2 linked regions of the Struthio camelus genome follow. The protein of the gene in region 1 purifies or fractionates together with the protein of each later gene. This does not show direct contact. Links are inferred from orthologs where the notes say so. Each region holds a gene or a part of one and is shown on either strand. Other genes may lie near its edges.

Region 1 (7,087 bases):
GTTGCAGAGCACATTATCCCACCTGCGTTTCTATTATGTATTTTTGTATATTAATTACTGTTTTTTTTATTTATTATATATACGCAGAGACTTGAAACAGACTCCTTTGGCGAGCATTAGTGCCTCAGGCTCGTCGTGAGCAAAGGATGGAGTAAGTGGGACGCCACATGGATGCGAGGGTGCAAGGGCATGCAGCGGGAGTCTGGGGTCCGGGCTTGTAACAAACCCCAGCTTTCTGGAAACCCAAGAGTAATGCTGATCCCGAGCCTTAAATTCACATGACTGGTAAAAATAACGCAGCAGAAACCTTCCGTCCATTAGAAAAGACTTCCAAATACCGATCTAGTTCACGTCACACAAAGCTCCTATGGGCATAGGTCGGGATTTGGCCTGAATAAAATACGACGAGATCCAAACTGAGAAAAACGACCGTTGGCATACAACGACATGTCAGCGATGGCACACGATTGCAACTGCCCTGTACTTTCTCTTTTGCTTAACTGGTGTCATGTGTTAAATTGCTAAATGCTATCTCTTTATCTTAAAGCAAAAATTCCTCCTATCAGGCTTATGGAGCCCACGTATTTTGTCAGAGAGAGAGAAAGGCAGTACCTTTGCACGTGTTCAGCTGTTTGCAATACTGCGTTTACAGGAAAGAGCCCTGTGTTGACTGGGCTCATACAGCACAGAGCTGAAGGCACATCACACGTTTTGGTCCAGATTCTCCTGTCCTCACGTGGTTAGTCTTTTAGACGTGGGGGCAGGGGCTTCCTTAAATAAAAATGAGCAGGGATTTAAAAGCTAGATTCTGGATCCGTTCCTCGCAGAAGACTCGTTTGTCCCTATCGGATATCTCAAGACTCATACGTTCCAGGATCTCTACAGGATGAAGGGGCAGATAATTTCTGCGTCAGGCCATCCTCTTTAAGCTAAAACATGATTTCCTGACATCTGAGGCTTGATCTAGAGTCTTCAGGTGTCGGGGAGTCCAGCAGGTACCGAAGAACGTTGTTCTCCTAGTTGAGTAGCTTCACTCAGAAACACAGAGCCCCTTCCTAGCCTGAAGCTGCGTGGGATCTCGATCTCCTTCTCCCTTCCTCTACTGGATAAAAGAGCCCCCTTCTCTCACATGTCCCTCCTCCACGCTGATACACGTAGGCCGTGATCGAGTCACTGCTGAACATCTTTTGTGGATCCAGACTAAGCTTCCTTCGCCTTTTGCTGTAAAAGGCCTGGTTTCCGGAGCTAATGTAATTCTAGTTCCTGTTAGTCCAGGAAGGGTTTTGCTAATGCTGGGTATAAAAATAATGCAACCTTTCTTCTTCCGCTTAATGTTCCCCTGCTCGCATACAAAGGATTGCATTTACCACTTTATTTACGGCGTCACAGGGCGGGGGTGGGGGGAGGGCTGTATTCCATGGGCCACACACCACTACTCCTCAGCCCTTTCCACAGCCGCTGCTCTGCAGAAGACATTTGCCTGTCTGTTACGTGCGACATGCCTGATTGCTGCTGGACATGATTTCTCGTCTGGCTGTTTGAACTCAAAGACCTTTTTAATCAAACAGTCCAAGACAGCTGGTACAACTGACGAGTTACCTTCACTAACTGCCGCTCTACCCACTTTGGGGTCGTGGGCACGTTTTACCAGCAGTGATTGTGTATTTTCTTCCAGGTTGTTGATACAGGTACTGAACTGCACTGAGCCAAAACCAAGCCTCATCGTGAGTCTACTAAAAACATCCGCTGCATACCAATACCTCCCTGATCATTTTTTTCTAAAATATATGTTGTTACTGGGTTTTAGTTCATTGAATATGGGCTGCATTGATTTTTTTAGAGTGCTACTTTTCTTAATCAGAATGTCTCTAACTAACGTGAATTATAGAAATCTGTTTTATCAATAGCTACCTCTGTCAGCCAAGCCTGTAATTTCATTTAATTACTTTTTGATTTTTAAATAATTCCTCTCATTCTTTTTTGCTCACGACTGTTTTTAGCTTAGAGAAAAGGAATTTTTGACATTTCAAGTATATTGTTGTCCAGGACCACATTTTGCTTGCTCTTATGAGAAATGAAATTGCAACGTGATCATCTGCATCTGGAAAGCCATCATTTTTTAGCCTGGTGACCAACTCATTGCGAGCTATGAAAATAAGGTATGACACAGAAATACCTCACACTGACATCAAATTTTTTTTGCGTTTAGGAACTTATCTACAACTTCTAGAAATCCGAGAGGTGCTTCTCGGGCTGTAGCATGAGACAGACCTTCAGCATCCGCTCCCCAGACTGAAATTTCCTATCGGACTCGAGGGTGGTTCCTCGCGCTGCACTTTGCAAGAGAGGTTGCAGGAACTGGCCCTTGCCCTGCCATTTTCTTTGGCGGTCTGTAGCAGAGGACCCCGCCAGGTAAGTTGCTGCTCGTATGCGGCTCTCTAGGCGCGTCAAGCCCCATCAGTATCTACGACACGTCAGGCCGCCTTCAGCAGCGTGCCCTCCCGAGCTGGCCGTAGGCAACGCTTTTACCAGCGCCGGTCGCTCAGATCGTCGCCCCTTTTTTTGGGGGAGGGGGGTGGGGGCAATCAGCTCCAGCGAGCCTTTCTGATCCCTTTCGGCGTTATCAGCGGAAAAAAAAAAAAAAACCACTGGGGAATTGGGGCTCTGTCAAGCGCACGCCCGCGTTTGTGCTGGGGGCTGCGGAGGCCGCTCAGCCCGCGGCGGCGCCCCCGGGCCCGGCCCGGCCGCGCTTCAGCACCGCGGACAGCGGCCGCCCCGGCGCGGCCGGGCGCTGCGGCAGCCGGCGCGGAGCCGCCGCCCCCCCCCCTCCCGCCGCCGCCGCCGCCGCCTCCCTCCGCGCACATCTCACCGAACATCTGGATGTGGCCCTTGGTGATGGGGTTGAAGCTGCCGCAGGCCAGCAGGATAACGTGCGTCTTGGTGGTCTCCGTCATGGTGCCGGCCGCCGCCGCCCGGCCCGGCCCGGCCCTGCCCAGCCCCAGCCCCAGCCGCTTTTTGTGTCTCGGTGCGGCTGCGGCGGGAGGGAGCGAGCGAGGGACGGAGCGAGGGACGGAGGGAGGGAGGGAGGGAGGGAGGGAGGCGGCGCCGCGGCTGCGGGAGCGCGGCCCGAGCCGCCCCGCCCCGCCGGGCACGCGCCCCTGCAGCCGCACACGCTCACAGCCGTGCGCGCCCGCGGGCGCGCGCACCGCAGGGCCTGGGGGCACCCGCAGGGGCGCGCAGGGTGCTCAGGTGCCACAACCCCCTTTTGCGTGTCCCCCCCCCCCCCCGCCCCCCAAGCGCCCTGCAAGGACCTTTTCGTGGCCGCGGGGTGCTCGGCCTCCCCTTCCGCCCGCTCTGGCCGGTCGTTTCCTTCCGGCTCCTCAGCTCAACCTTTTGCCCATAAACGTCCGTCCGTCACCAGCAGCAAAACCCCTTAAGGGGATTCTGCACAATCACCAGTGGAAATCCGGGCGGGGGAGCTTGCTGTTGCAAACATGAAGTTATCTGCATTCGTAGAGGTTGACTCTCGGCGTTATTCTCAAAACCAAACACGACCCAAGACAACGGGCACGTTGACGCTACGGCCGGGCCGGGTCCGTGCCGGGTGAGGGTGAGCTCGGCTAGGGGAGAACAGCAGCCCCGCTCGCAGCCCTGCCCGGGGTGGGTACCTGCGCCAGCTCCGCAGGGTCCCTTTTCCGTTGTCTACGTGAGGTAAATGGTAATAAATAAACGAAGAAGCAACGTCAAGTCAGGAAAAGTATGACACGTTTTTGTGTTTTCTCCAAAGTGGTGATATACCTTCTTACTAGCTATGTAAGGACGTTCGATGGTTCAGAATATGGGAAGAGATTTGGGGTTTTGTGTTAGGGCGTTTTTGTGCTGTTCCTCCTAGCCACCACCCCAGGGTAGAGATTTGCTACTTTAGCAGAAGTTGCGGCTCTGCAGTTTGACGCTGGCACGGCATTCAGTATAACCTTGCCTTCAAATCCACAGACTTTAATTGTCGTGTATAAGCCTCAGAACGACATCAGAAAAAGAGGACATTCTTTAAGGCTCTCTATATTACCTAAAGTAGCCGTGCCACCCGTGTTGAGGTTGTGATTATTAAAATCTGCTGTTTCTCCAGCTCCCAGGGCCAGCAAAGCCGAGTTGAGGCCGTTTGCCACGTGCAGAAGTGGGGATGCGCAGGCACCCCGGGTGTCGGAGCCACGCACCAGGCTTGGATCGGTCACCGTGCGTCAGCTCTGCAGAAGCAGCCCCTCCCTGGAGCTGCTCGTGCATTAATAGCACGTGTCATGTTTGCCAAATTCCCACAAACTGAGGCCCGCGAGTGAGCAGTCCACTCGTGACGAGCAGCTTGTGAGACTGAAGTCGGTGTATCTCTTGTACGGCCTCATGGGAATACGGGGTCATAGGGAACGTTTAGGAGGAGCAGGGAATACGGTCGGCAGAGAGCAGGGTGCTGGGAGCGGAGTCAGGGCCCCCAGCCTGTAGCGATGAGGGACACACAGCCAAGGTTGAGGTCTCTTAACTCTCCCAACAGGGGAGAGCCATGCGCTTTCTAAAATGCCTTCATGAAAAATCCTCTAAAACACAGGGAGCATAAGATGCAAAAAGATTGCACGTTGGGTTTGCAGAGCTACAGCACTACTTCCCTCGCTGATCCCTTTTGCTTTCTCAGAAACCATACACCAAGGTATCCAAGAAGGCCTCATCTAGTGATATAGGAGGGCATCATAGGGAGATACGTGAGAGTATCACCAGGATGTGATGAAGGCATCACCCAGGGCTTGCGAGGTGCCTGGCTGGTGAGATGGGTGCACTGTGCACGCAGGCACTGTGCTCCTTGGGAAACCAGGGCCTGGGCTCCGCCTCCTGCTCTTGCTGTGGCGGAGCTGAAGAGCTCTGTCACAAATCGATGAGGCCAGAAAAACACGAATAATCAGACAAACTCTCCTTTGCCTCTTTGGTGCTACGGGGCTGGGAAGCTTCGGTGGTGCCACAGAGCGAGCAGAGGCTCTCCTGGGGGCTGCTTCCTTCTGGCACCATGTACCGTGTCCATACCCTGGCGATGACTGGTGTTTCCCACTGGGCGCCCCCAGGACCTCACTCCTCCTTCGCTTGTTCTCCTCCCTCCCAAAATGCTGCAGGCCGCTCGGGCCCTCCCACGTCCCCTACATATGCTGGGGCAAGAGGCAGCACATGCCGACTGGCCCTCTGTGTGTGCATGTGTATGTCTCTTCTCTCTGTTTTCACAAAACTCCAATTTTTCTCCAATTTTGTTGCAAATTGGCCAACAGGTTCAAAAGCTACCTGTGAAGACTAATACACAGCTGGAGGGACAGGAAGCATGACTGCATTAGCTTCTTTTCTGTAGGAAATCAGGCTAAGAAATGGCATGTGGACCTCCCTGTGCTTAAAAAAATGCAGTGCTGATAATCTTTCCTGCACTGGAGAACTGATGAAAGGTTGGAGGGGGGGGGGTCGTTTTAGTGTTTTCTCTCCCCATACTGATTTAATAACATACCGATTTTTTCTTCCTTTAACAGGAACACTCTAGTGTCTCTAGCTGAGGTAGCAGCCGTTGCTCCCTCCAACCATTGCAACCTTGGTCATATGGGAGCGCAGCTGCGTGGCTTCTAAGCACAGAGCCTGGACCCTGCAGAGGTGCAGCTCAGCTCATCACAGGCAAGGCAGGGAGCCCGAGCCGAGCCACGTGCTGGCCACGTGAAGGGCAAGGAGGCAGGAGGAGCACAAGTGAGCAGAGAAGCGAGCAGAGACTGCAACAAAAATGAGAAGCTGGACCTAGTGAAGCATGGGATATTGCCAGCGTTCTTGAATGCTACGTTCATTTTTCAGCTATGTATGTTTGGGATACTCTGTCTCAGAAAGCGTTGCTGTTGCCGAGGGTCCCAGCGCAAAGAGCTCGTGTTACAGTTTTAAGGCTTATTGGTATGATGACAGCAAGAGTCCCCATAGCTGAGCCCTGTTTTAACTGCAGCTGGCTTTGACTGACTGTCCCACTCTGGCAGGAAAGGCAGGTGCTGCTGTCAAGGCTGGAGACACGTAGCGATGCTGCTTTGCGTTAAGAGATCTGATATGAAATGTGGGATTTTGGCTTTTACTAAGAGACTCCTTCACTGACTCCTTCTGAAGAAAAGAGATCGCAGTTCTGGCAAGACACTTGAAAAATACTTTTTGACCTCAGCCCATTCCCCACTAATTTTGCATGGGAAACACTTGCAGGGAGGGTATTTTCCCTTTAGCTTTCCATAAGTTGGACTACCTGCAGCCGTAGGAGCATCAGGTGCCACGGCTGCAGGACAAAGTAGAGATGGGGAGACCCGAGTGGGGCTGAGTGAAGTGAAGCAGGTCTTGGTGCTGGAATGACGCATGCAAGGATCAGCGAGGTGGATCAGCGCAGTGGATCAGCTAGACCCAGGCACGACACCCACAGGGACGGGCACCGAAAAGCTTGTAGGCGCAAATTTCACACCTGTGAACAAAACTGCAGGGACGCAACGAAGGACAGACAACCCCTGTGGTAGGAACCAGTTGTGCTGGTCCAATGAGCAAACACTCACCAGAAGCACCATTCTCATGTCCTGCTGGTCCATGCTGTCTGTGATTATTTGTGCTGCGAGAGTGCCCGGAGACTCCCACATGATTTGGGCTCCAGCCTGCGCCGCGGTGGCAAGTGGCTACCTGTGATTTGAGTTTGTGCATTAGGTCAGACAGAGGGCAAAACGGAAGAACGATGGTCTCTCTATATTGCAGCCGGACCTGAGCACTGATGTCCTCCCCCTTCCTTGCCTTCCCTCTCACTGCCACTGGCACTAACAACCAGAACACTGCAATCTAGTCCTTTTGCCTGATTGCCCCACAGCCATGTGATTGCTAGGTCTAGCCCAAGGAGTCAGAGGGGCTTAAACTAGTCATGAAATCACTGCCCGCACAATTCAGAGTCTTCCTGTCTGGAGGATTTCCATGAAGCTCTGATGCCCAAAAGCCAGCCCTGTAACCCTAGGAATTTCTGTACTGCAACAACCCACATTTACAATTCTCTTTTCTTGAGACTGAAGATCTC
Region 2 (7,894 bases), on another chromosome or scaffold:
GGTACACCAAAGTCACTTCCGTGTTACCATACACAGCAGACACTGCTGGATACAGGCAAACTTTTGGCAGTCCTCTGAATGCAACTCCCAAAAACTCATAGCCCCTCTCAAACGCTAACGTTTTGTCTTCCATGTCCAGGATAACTCGAATCCTTTCACCTATCTGGAAACAGAAATAAGAAGAGGAAGAAAAATAAAACAAAAGAAAAAGTCAACATATTCAAATAGAGACATGAAAAATAAAGCAAAGCCCGTGTACAGTACAGCAGATCACCTCAAAGGGAGGTTTTCCTGTTTCTCAAGATTGCACTACTTTTTCCGTGGAACTTCTCCATTTCACTGATACACGTAAGATTCTGAGCATCTGTACTGGCAGTTTCCAATAGGCAACCTATATCTAACCACCAGAGTAACAAACGTAGCCCTTTGCATCAGAACATCACAATAGCACTGAGAGTTAGCATAACATATGCCATTTACTTCAGAATTCTGCAGCTTGGGGAAGTTTTGTAACGGCCTCCACCCAAAGTTACCCAAACCCTGCATTTGGTTGCTATCACTGACCAGTAATGTCCGTGCTGAGCAATTTTAAAAGACAATGAACCTGTTTAAAAACAGGTAAGCGCAACATACAAACTATACCAGAATATTTTACTGACTATACAAGTACTGTCATCGTCAGAGGGATTCCTTGGTAGAAAGGGCAGAAAGAAATTACAGTGCAAAGCCTAGGTAAATTAAGTATGAAAAACCTAAATATATATATACACACGAATGAAAAGAACACTGAATGCAGTAAGATAATCAGATCACAACATACACAATGCTCCCAGCATTCACCTACTACATATTTTTCAAATGTAAAGGTAAGTCACAGACACCAGCAGCAAGCACAACATGATACAGCACAAACTTCTGATTCTCCACAAGCCAACTGCAACGTTGGCATTTTCTTCAAAACAACACATTTTTCTTCCAACACCAGCAAACATATAGTTACTTTTAGTGTATTATATACAAGCAGCTCACTGTGCTTGTTTTACTGCATATAAAGTACTTTAAAGGATCACCAATCTGAGCTCTAACCAACTTTTAAAAAGAAAAAAGCAAGTGCAAGACCTGTTCTCCCTCGAGTCCACATGAGAGTTCTCCTGGCTCTAAAACTTTTTCTTGCCCTGTGGCTGCATAAAGGCCTAGATACAGACAGCAGAAAATGACCACAAACGGTCAAGTCTGGAAAGTGCACTTGCATGTTAAAAAACATGCAAATAGAAAGCAAACTAAATCTCTTTAAAAACACTCATTTTAGGTTTTGTTTGCAAAAATGGCAGGTACAAGCTTCAGACCAAATCAGATCAAGTGCTTGGCAGCGAGCCTTTATGTGAAATTTAGGAACATCAGATACAAGTTCCTAAGCAAATCTTCACCCACAACTGAAATACAAGCTGCTTTGGAGTCAACATTCGTACAAAACCTTCGATATTATGAGTCAGGCATTATACTGCGCATGGCTGAAGTTGTAACGTGAGGAAATCTAGCAGTCAAACCATCGTGCAGATGGCCAAGAGAGCAAAGGTAAACCACTTTGATATGGACAAAAAGACAGAATGGCACTTCCTCTTTAATAACATCTATTTATCTGAACATCACATCCCAGCCTAAAGATGTCACCTTTAGGAACAGTGCCAGGGAGCAAACAAACAGCACTCGGCATTACTGCATTTTCTTGCAGGAAAACTCTTACCTAAGCACTAACTTCAACTCCCACTGCAGGGTAACAAAAAGATAACACAGCTACCACACACACAGTCATATCACTGACAGGCAAAATCTTTACTTAAGATAGCCAGAATGGCCTCGTCAGCTTCTTTTTCAAAAAGCAATTGTCTTTAGATAAGCACCCATAGTGTGTGTTCCTCACTTCATATTTGAAATAAAAGTTTATTTGTTGTCTTCAGTAGGGGAAACAACAGAGAATGAGTTGTACTGAACATTACACACAGACATAATCGAAGGAAACATTAAGGGGGAAACCCCTTGTACGGCACCATCATTTACCTCCTGCAGGGACCGTTTTGCTCTAGATGACCACTTAAGACCAATTCAGCAAGCAGCTAACTACTACATGCTATGAAGAAATTCTTGGAGGACAGCTGCTGTTCGAGACAGTAAAGCTCCCAGCCTGCGCCAAGTCTCACCCACCTGGTATTTCGGTGCGTTATTGCACTGAGGGAAACTGCCGTTCACTTCTCCATTATGCAGTAAATTATTGTCCACCAAATTCCAGCCCCAGCTCTGGTCATCGCTCCCCAGTAGTGCCACGTAGCCCTGGCACTGCATGGCAGCCCGCTTCGTGGCAATGCCGATGACAGCCACGGTGCCCAGCGGGCCCTCCCACCACACTTCCCACGCGTGGCGGCCCTCGCTGAAGCCGATCTTGGTCCTTGCCCCATCCGTGCTCTGAGCGATGGGGTTGCGGTGCAAAGTGAAGCCGTTCTTCTTGATGTAGACGTTCCTGGAGCAATCGTTGGTGCTAAAGGCGTGGTGAAAGGCACGTACCTAGCAGAGAAGGGGAAGGGAGAGGGCGTTCAGGCAGGAAGGGACAATCCAAACCCTTCTAGCGGTGCCGCTGGCAGGGCAATATCGACCGTCTTCCCCCCCGCCCCCCGCCCGGCTCCTAACGCGGGGCGCACAACGGCCCGCAGCCCAGCCCAGGCCGCGGAGGCCCCGCGGCTCCCCCGCCGACCCACCTTGCCCTTGTAGGTGGGCACGTTGCAGAGGATGTCGGTGCGCAGCGCCTCCTCCGCCAGGCAGCGGGCCGCCAGGCTGCGCCACACCTCGCTGTTCTCGTCGCCGTGGAGGACGCGGTGCCACAGCTTGCAGACCAGGGCGCAGCTCCGCAGCTCCCGCAGCTCCAGGTAGGAGAACACCAGCTCCAGCACCCGCCCCGGCAGCCGCCACCCCGCTCCCCCCGCCAGCGCCGCCGCCGCGCCGCCGCCGCCCGCGCCGCCCGCCGCCATCGCCTCAGGCGGCGGCGCCCCCCGCCGGGCCCGGGGCTCGAGGGCCGCGCCGCGCCGGCCGGCCTCGCGCGAGCCGACAGCGCGGGGCAGGGGGCGGGAAACGACGGGCTCGCCCCGCTTCGCTGGCCGCAAGCGCGGGCGGGCGGCGGAGCGCGGCGGCGGGCCCCGGGCCGCAGGCGCGCCGGCCGCCAGCGCCCGCCCCGCTCTGCCGCCGCCGCCGCCGCCACAGGCCTCACGGGGAGGGGACGCGCGCGCTCGGCGCCGCCATAACGGCTGCGGGCAGCGCCGCCGGAGGCCGCGGCCGCGCATGCGCGGGGCGGGGCGGGGCGCGGGAGCGGCCGGTGGAGGTGAGGGCGCCGCGCGGAAGGGGCTGCGAGGCCTGCGCGGCGGTTGGGGGCGGCGCGGCCGCGCCCGGCCGGTGGCTTTTCCCGCACCGCGAGGCAGAGCGCCGCAGTTTCTGTGACTGGAAACGCCAGCCGGCGGCTTTTAAAATAAGACCGCGCTCTGAGTCCCTCGGTCTGGCCGTGACGCGCTCTCCGTGCGGCCCTGCGCGCGGCCGCGGGGGCCGTTGCCCCTGAGGTGAGGTGAGGTGAGGCGAGGCGGGGCGCGCCCCCGTGCCGCGGGCACTGCGGCTCGCCCAGCTGCCCGTCGTTCCGCTTGCCCTGACTTGGCGTTTCCCCAGCATCCTCCGGTGTTTCCTCTCTACGCTCCTTCCTTCGTTCTGGTTACAGCCCCCCCCCCCCCCCGTTTTTCTTTCCTTCTGCTTGTGGCAGTGTCAGGGTGTCAGACTTGGTAGTACAGGAACCCTGCGAGCCCCTACACGAATACAACTGCATTAAAATAAATAGGACTGGCATTGGATTCAAATACACCTTTTAAAATGTATTACCTTTAAGCAGTCAACCTATATTAATGGCCTAAAATAATTAAAAGCATTGAGTTAGAGAATCAGTGAGCACAGTATTTACTGTTGAAACTTTAACTTACTAAACTTGCTGTGTAAGCAACTGCAAGCAGAGTTTCTTGTAACAGTGGAACAGCCACTGACAGCAGTACTTTTATCTAGCCATACAAACATATTTTTAACTGTATTATGAGCTAATTCTATTTCAATAACTCGTTTATTCAAAAGCTGAGAAACCAACTGGGAGAAGGTTTTCTTCCTGTAAAGCCAGAAACTAGATATATCAGTGAGATGTACTAGGTCCCACAGTGTGGGAGAGGGTAACCAGAAATAATTTTCTCAACTTCCTGAATACAGGAACATCATTTGCTAACAACATAGCTGGCACTTTGGGTAATTTCATTTAATCAAGAAGATTGAAATTCTGTCGGTGGATAGAATCAATTTTAACTACTCTTCAAATCCAGCTGAATAAAAATTACATACACAAAAAAAGTAGCATAGTACAAAAAGGAGTACTTCACTCATTGCTTTCTGATGTAATAAAAAGGTAAATGTTACAGTATGCTCTATGGTAACTTAAGCTCACTGGCATCCAGCCGTAGTTCCATCCTGCAAACCCCATGTTGTGTCTACTCCCTTGCACAGGTACTAGCTCTCCTTTGCCCTTGTGAGCTGGTTCAGGGAGCTAAGCAAGCTCAAACCTGCTGTGTTTTTGTGTTGCTTTTCTCCCTCCCTTCCTCCTTCCCCCCGCCCCATTTCATTTTCTGCTGGCATGGCTCCCTAAACTGTCTTATCATGGGCTAGTGCACAGGAAAGGGCCAGGAGCACAGTAAGCTGAATGTATGCTGCTTTAAGACCCTAGTAAATGTGCAGTAAACAGTGTAACTACTTTTGTTAAACTGCTGATATTTTTTTCAAACACACCTTGTGTTACTGTATGTCTGTTTAGGCAAATATGCTTTAGTGTTTACCAGTCAAGTGAGAATTAACTTCAGTTTGGGAACACGAAGTACACATGCAAAACAGTTTAAAATTTATTCATACTAATGTATGCTTTTAAACCATAATTAAAGTAGTCACTTCAGCATTAATCAGTTTATCCCCCTTTCACCAGCACAAGTTTTTTTACTCCAGGTATTACAAGGTTGCTTTACAAATTAATGTTGGATATTGATTATCTAGCATATCCATACCTGGATAAAAGGTATGTTCATATGTGGTTGCCCTCACACAGACTGGAACAGTAGGACTTCTCTGCAAACTGTAACAATCTTCCCCTTTCTCCTTTCCAGTAAGCCCCCCTTGAAACTGTGCCCCTAGTTCGTCAGACACACTATATCCATATTCACTGCAAAGAAATGGCAGAGAAAGCAACCCCCACTTAGGTAGCTACTTCAGAGCAGCAGATCTAATTCATGTCCTTCACAAGCACATATGCGATCACTTCTACCAACCCATTATGTTGTTGCTGATGTAGTCTGTTGATAATGCTTGAGCCAAAGCTTCCACCTGGGTACTTACCTATAGAGGTGTCTGTTTTCACTGGACACTAGAGTTTCATCTGGTGTGTGTGACTGAGTCAACCCAATAATCTCACTTCTTAGGTAAGCTTTACATCGTAATGAGAACAACTCCAGCTCAATTCAGTTTTCCGTTTGTTTGTTTCACAGGTGGCCCTGAAATATGGCAGTCAAATGGACTGATGGGCATTCCTCCTCTATACTGTGCCTGAACATAAACAAGGAAGGGCTGGTAGCTTCAGGAGCAGAAAGAGGCGAGCTCACCATCTGGGATGGAAAAGGCATTCCAGTAGGACAGCTCCAGCTTTGTAAGGCAGATGATGTTACCTCTGTTGTGTTCTCTCCCACCTGTCCTACCAGGCTGTACACTTCCCATGGAGAAACTATCAGTTTGCTGGATGTTCGATCTCTTAAGGAGCCTACTGAATGCTTCCAAGTGAACGAGGAGGAGATCAGTTGCCTTTCAGTGAACGAGACTGACAATTTCTTGGCTGCAGCAGATGATTCTGGGACAATAAAGATTATAGACTTAGAAAACAAGAAAGTCAGCCGGTCCTTGAGACACTCAAATATCTGCTCCTCTGTTGTCTTTCGACCTCAGAGGCCACAAAGCCTTCTTTCCTGTGGACTGGACATGCAGGTGATTTGCATAAAAGTAGACATATGGTTATTAGAGAAGCTAAACAGAAACTACACGTGTGTGTAGTGAGGCCCCAACACACTTTCACCACACTTCCACAGAACAAGAGGGAGAGTCGTACAGCCTGCAGCCAGTGGAAAGCTCTTTAACTTTCCTAAAGTAGTTTTGGCAGAGAAGCTAACAGTGTTGAGACTATTAATGCTGTTTTCTGCTCAGCAGTTAGTCTTGCGATTTTTGTCTTCATTAATAGTTACAATATAGAAGTGAGGGGGAGGGCATCAGAAGATGGGGCAACTGCATCACCTCTCTGTTTCACAGAGCAAAAACACAGGCTGTCTCTAGCGATCAATTACGGCTGCAAACAAAATTTTGATGGTAGTTAGGAAAATGCAAAATACTTGAAGCTGACAAGGTGCTAGCAAGAATACTTTAATATAGATAGATAAATATCTATCCAAGTGGTATGTACCACTGTAAGGATTAAAGTTATTTTTATAAATTTATTTTTTATCCTTTGTTCACAGTATCATCTTGAAAGTGTTAAATGTACTTTTCCTTTTTACCTTCCTCAAGTGGAAATTTTGTCATTTGCGTGCTCCTAAAGAGCATTTTTAGAAGAAACACTGAACCATGCTAGAGTTAGTGGAATGTTGAGTTACACTGTCAAAGTTGGCACCCAATATCACCCAAAGCAGATTTTTTTTTGTAATTACTTCCCCGTGGTTGACGTGTGACCACTTTCCTGTTGTAGAGTGGGGAAATGCTTGGGTGTTGTTTTTCCCCTTCTTGTCTGCACAGTTCACTGGAGACCACCAAGCACTGCAAAATCCAGTTTCCATCTGATGAGAATGCAATATTGCAAAGACATAAGCAGTCTTCTCTGTTTCAGAACACCGTTTTACGGATTCCTCTTAAGGTGTCCAATAGAAGAAAAATACCTGAGATTAGAACTACCAGTTCTCCAAAGGTTTCCGTGATTTTAGTGGTGTTAAAGATGGATTTTTCTTTGACAGCTGTAAGCAATTTCATCCTGTGTTCTTAAAACTAAAGTACCTCTGACATCAGTTAGGGTGAATGCATTTTGATATAGGTGATATTTTTCCATATTAAGACCAGGGTTTATATAAATTCAGTAAGTAGATATAGTTGAATAGAGGCTGATTAATAGAAGTTTTCCAAATTTTGACTTTGACAGATCTTCAAACACAGTTGGCTAAAAGATGGATATAGAATCTTAAATGAAGTACTTTGGGAAACTTCTTTTTCAGAGATACCAAAATATCAGTTTGAGAGCAGTAAATGCTTGGCACCTTAAAATGGTTATGTATTTTCAGGTACCCTACGTGCCAATTCACAAGCCTATGGCTAGAAACTTTTTATCAGAATTTTAATCATTTATATCAGATTTCAGCGTGAGAAAACTAGTTATTTTCTGTGACATTTTTAGTTGTAGTGTGTTTTACTATAGGCAAATTAGGTTTTACGTGAAAGTCAGTACCCCCAAAATAGTAGACATTTATGAGCATTTTTGTACAATGAAAAGAGCATTTCTACAGACATCAAGGCTGTCTTTAGGATATACCATTTCACAGAGAAGCTGAGCTGTAATAAGTAAGATACTTGCTTTTCAGAAAGCTTGTTACTGTTTGGGTGCTTTACCACTTAATCCAGATGTATTTGCTAAAGCTCTTGCAGCGCTATCAAAGATGAGAATGGGACTGTTTGCCTTAAGCATTAGACCCGGCCTCTCTAATTTGCTCTATGCTGCCGAGTCATCATGGAATGTTTTCCCTTTCGTTAGGAGCAA

The links. Proteins that work in one complex are often made in the same cells at the same time.
Region 2: the proteins of NMNAT2 (region 1) and FBXO45 purify together in Homo sapiens (co-immunoprecipitation; 3 studies listed by BioGRID and IntAct, with this or other methods). This does not show direct contact. The link is inferred for Struthio camelus from reciprocal best matches to the Homo sapiens genes NMNAT2 and FBXO45.

The regions. Positions count from the first base shown.
Region 1 is NC_090949.1:4,499,636-4,506,722, reverse strand, and holds the start of NMNAT2 (nicotinamide/nicotinic acid mononucleotide adenylyltransferase 2), read right to left. Parts: upstream 3,085-7,087; 5' UTR 2,955-3,084; coding exon 2,870-2,954; intron 1-2,869.
Region 2 is NC_090950.1:2,495,495-2,503,388, reverse strand, and holds the start of FBXO45 (F-box/SPRY domain-containing protein 1), read right to left. Parts: upstream 3,021-7,894; coding exon 2,751-3,020; intron 2,560-2,750; coding exon 2,203-2,559; intron 164-2,202; coding exon 1-163. Other genes in the region: WDR53 (WD repeat-containing protein 53), read left to right, coding at 5,611-6,087. UniProt on the Homo sapiens protein: Component of E3 ubiquitin ligase complex consisting of FBXO45, MYCBP2 and SKP1. Functions in substrate recognition but also plays an important role in assembly of the complex.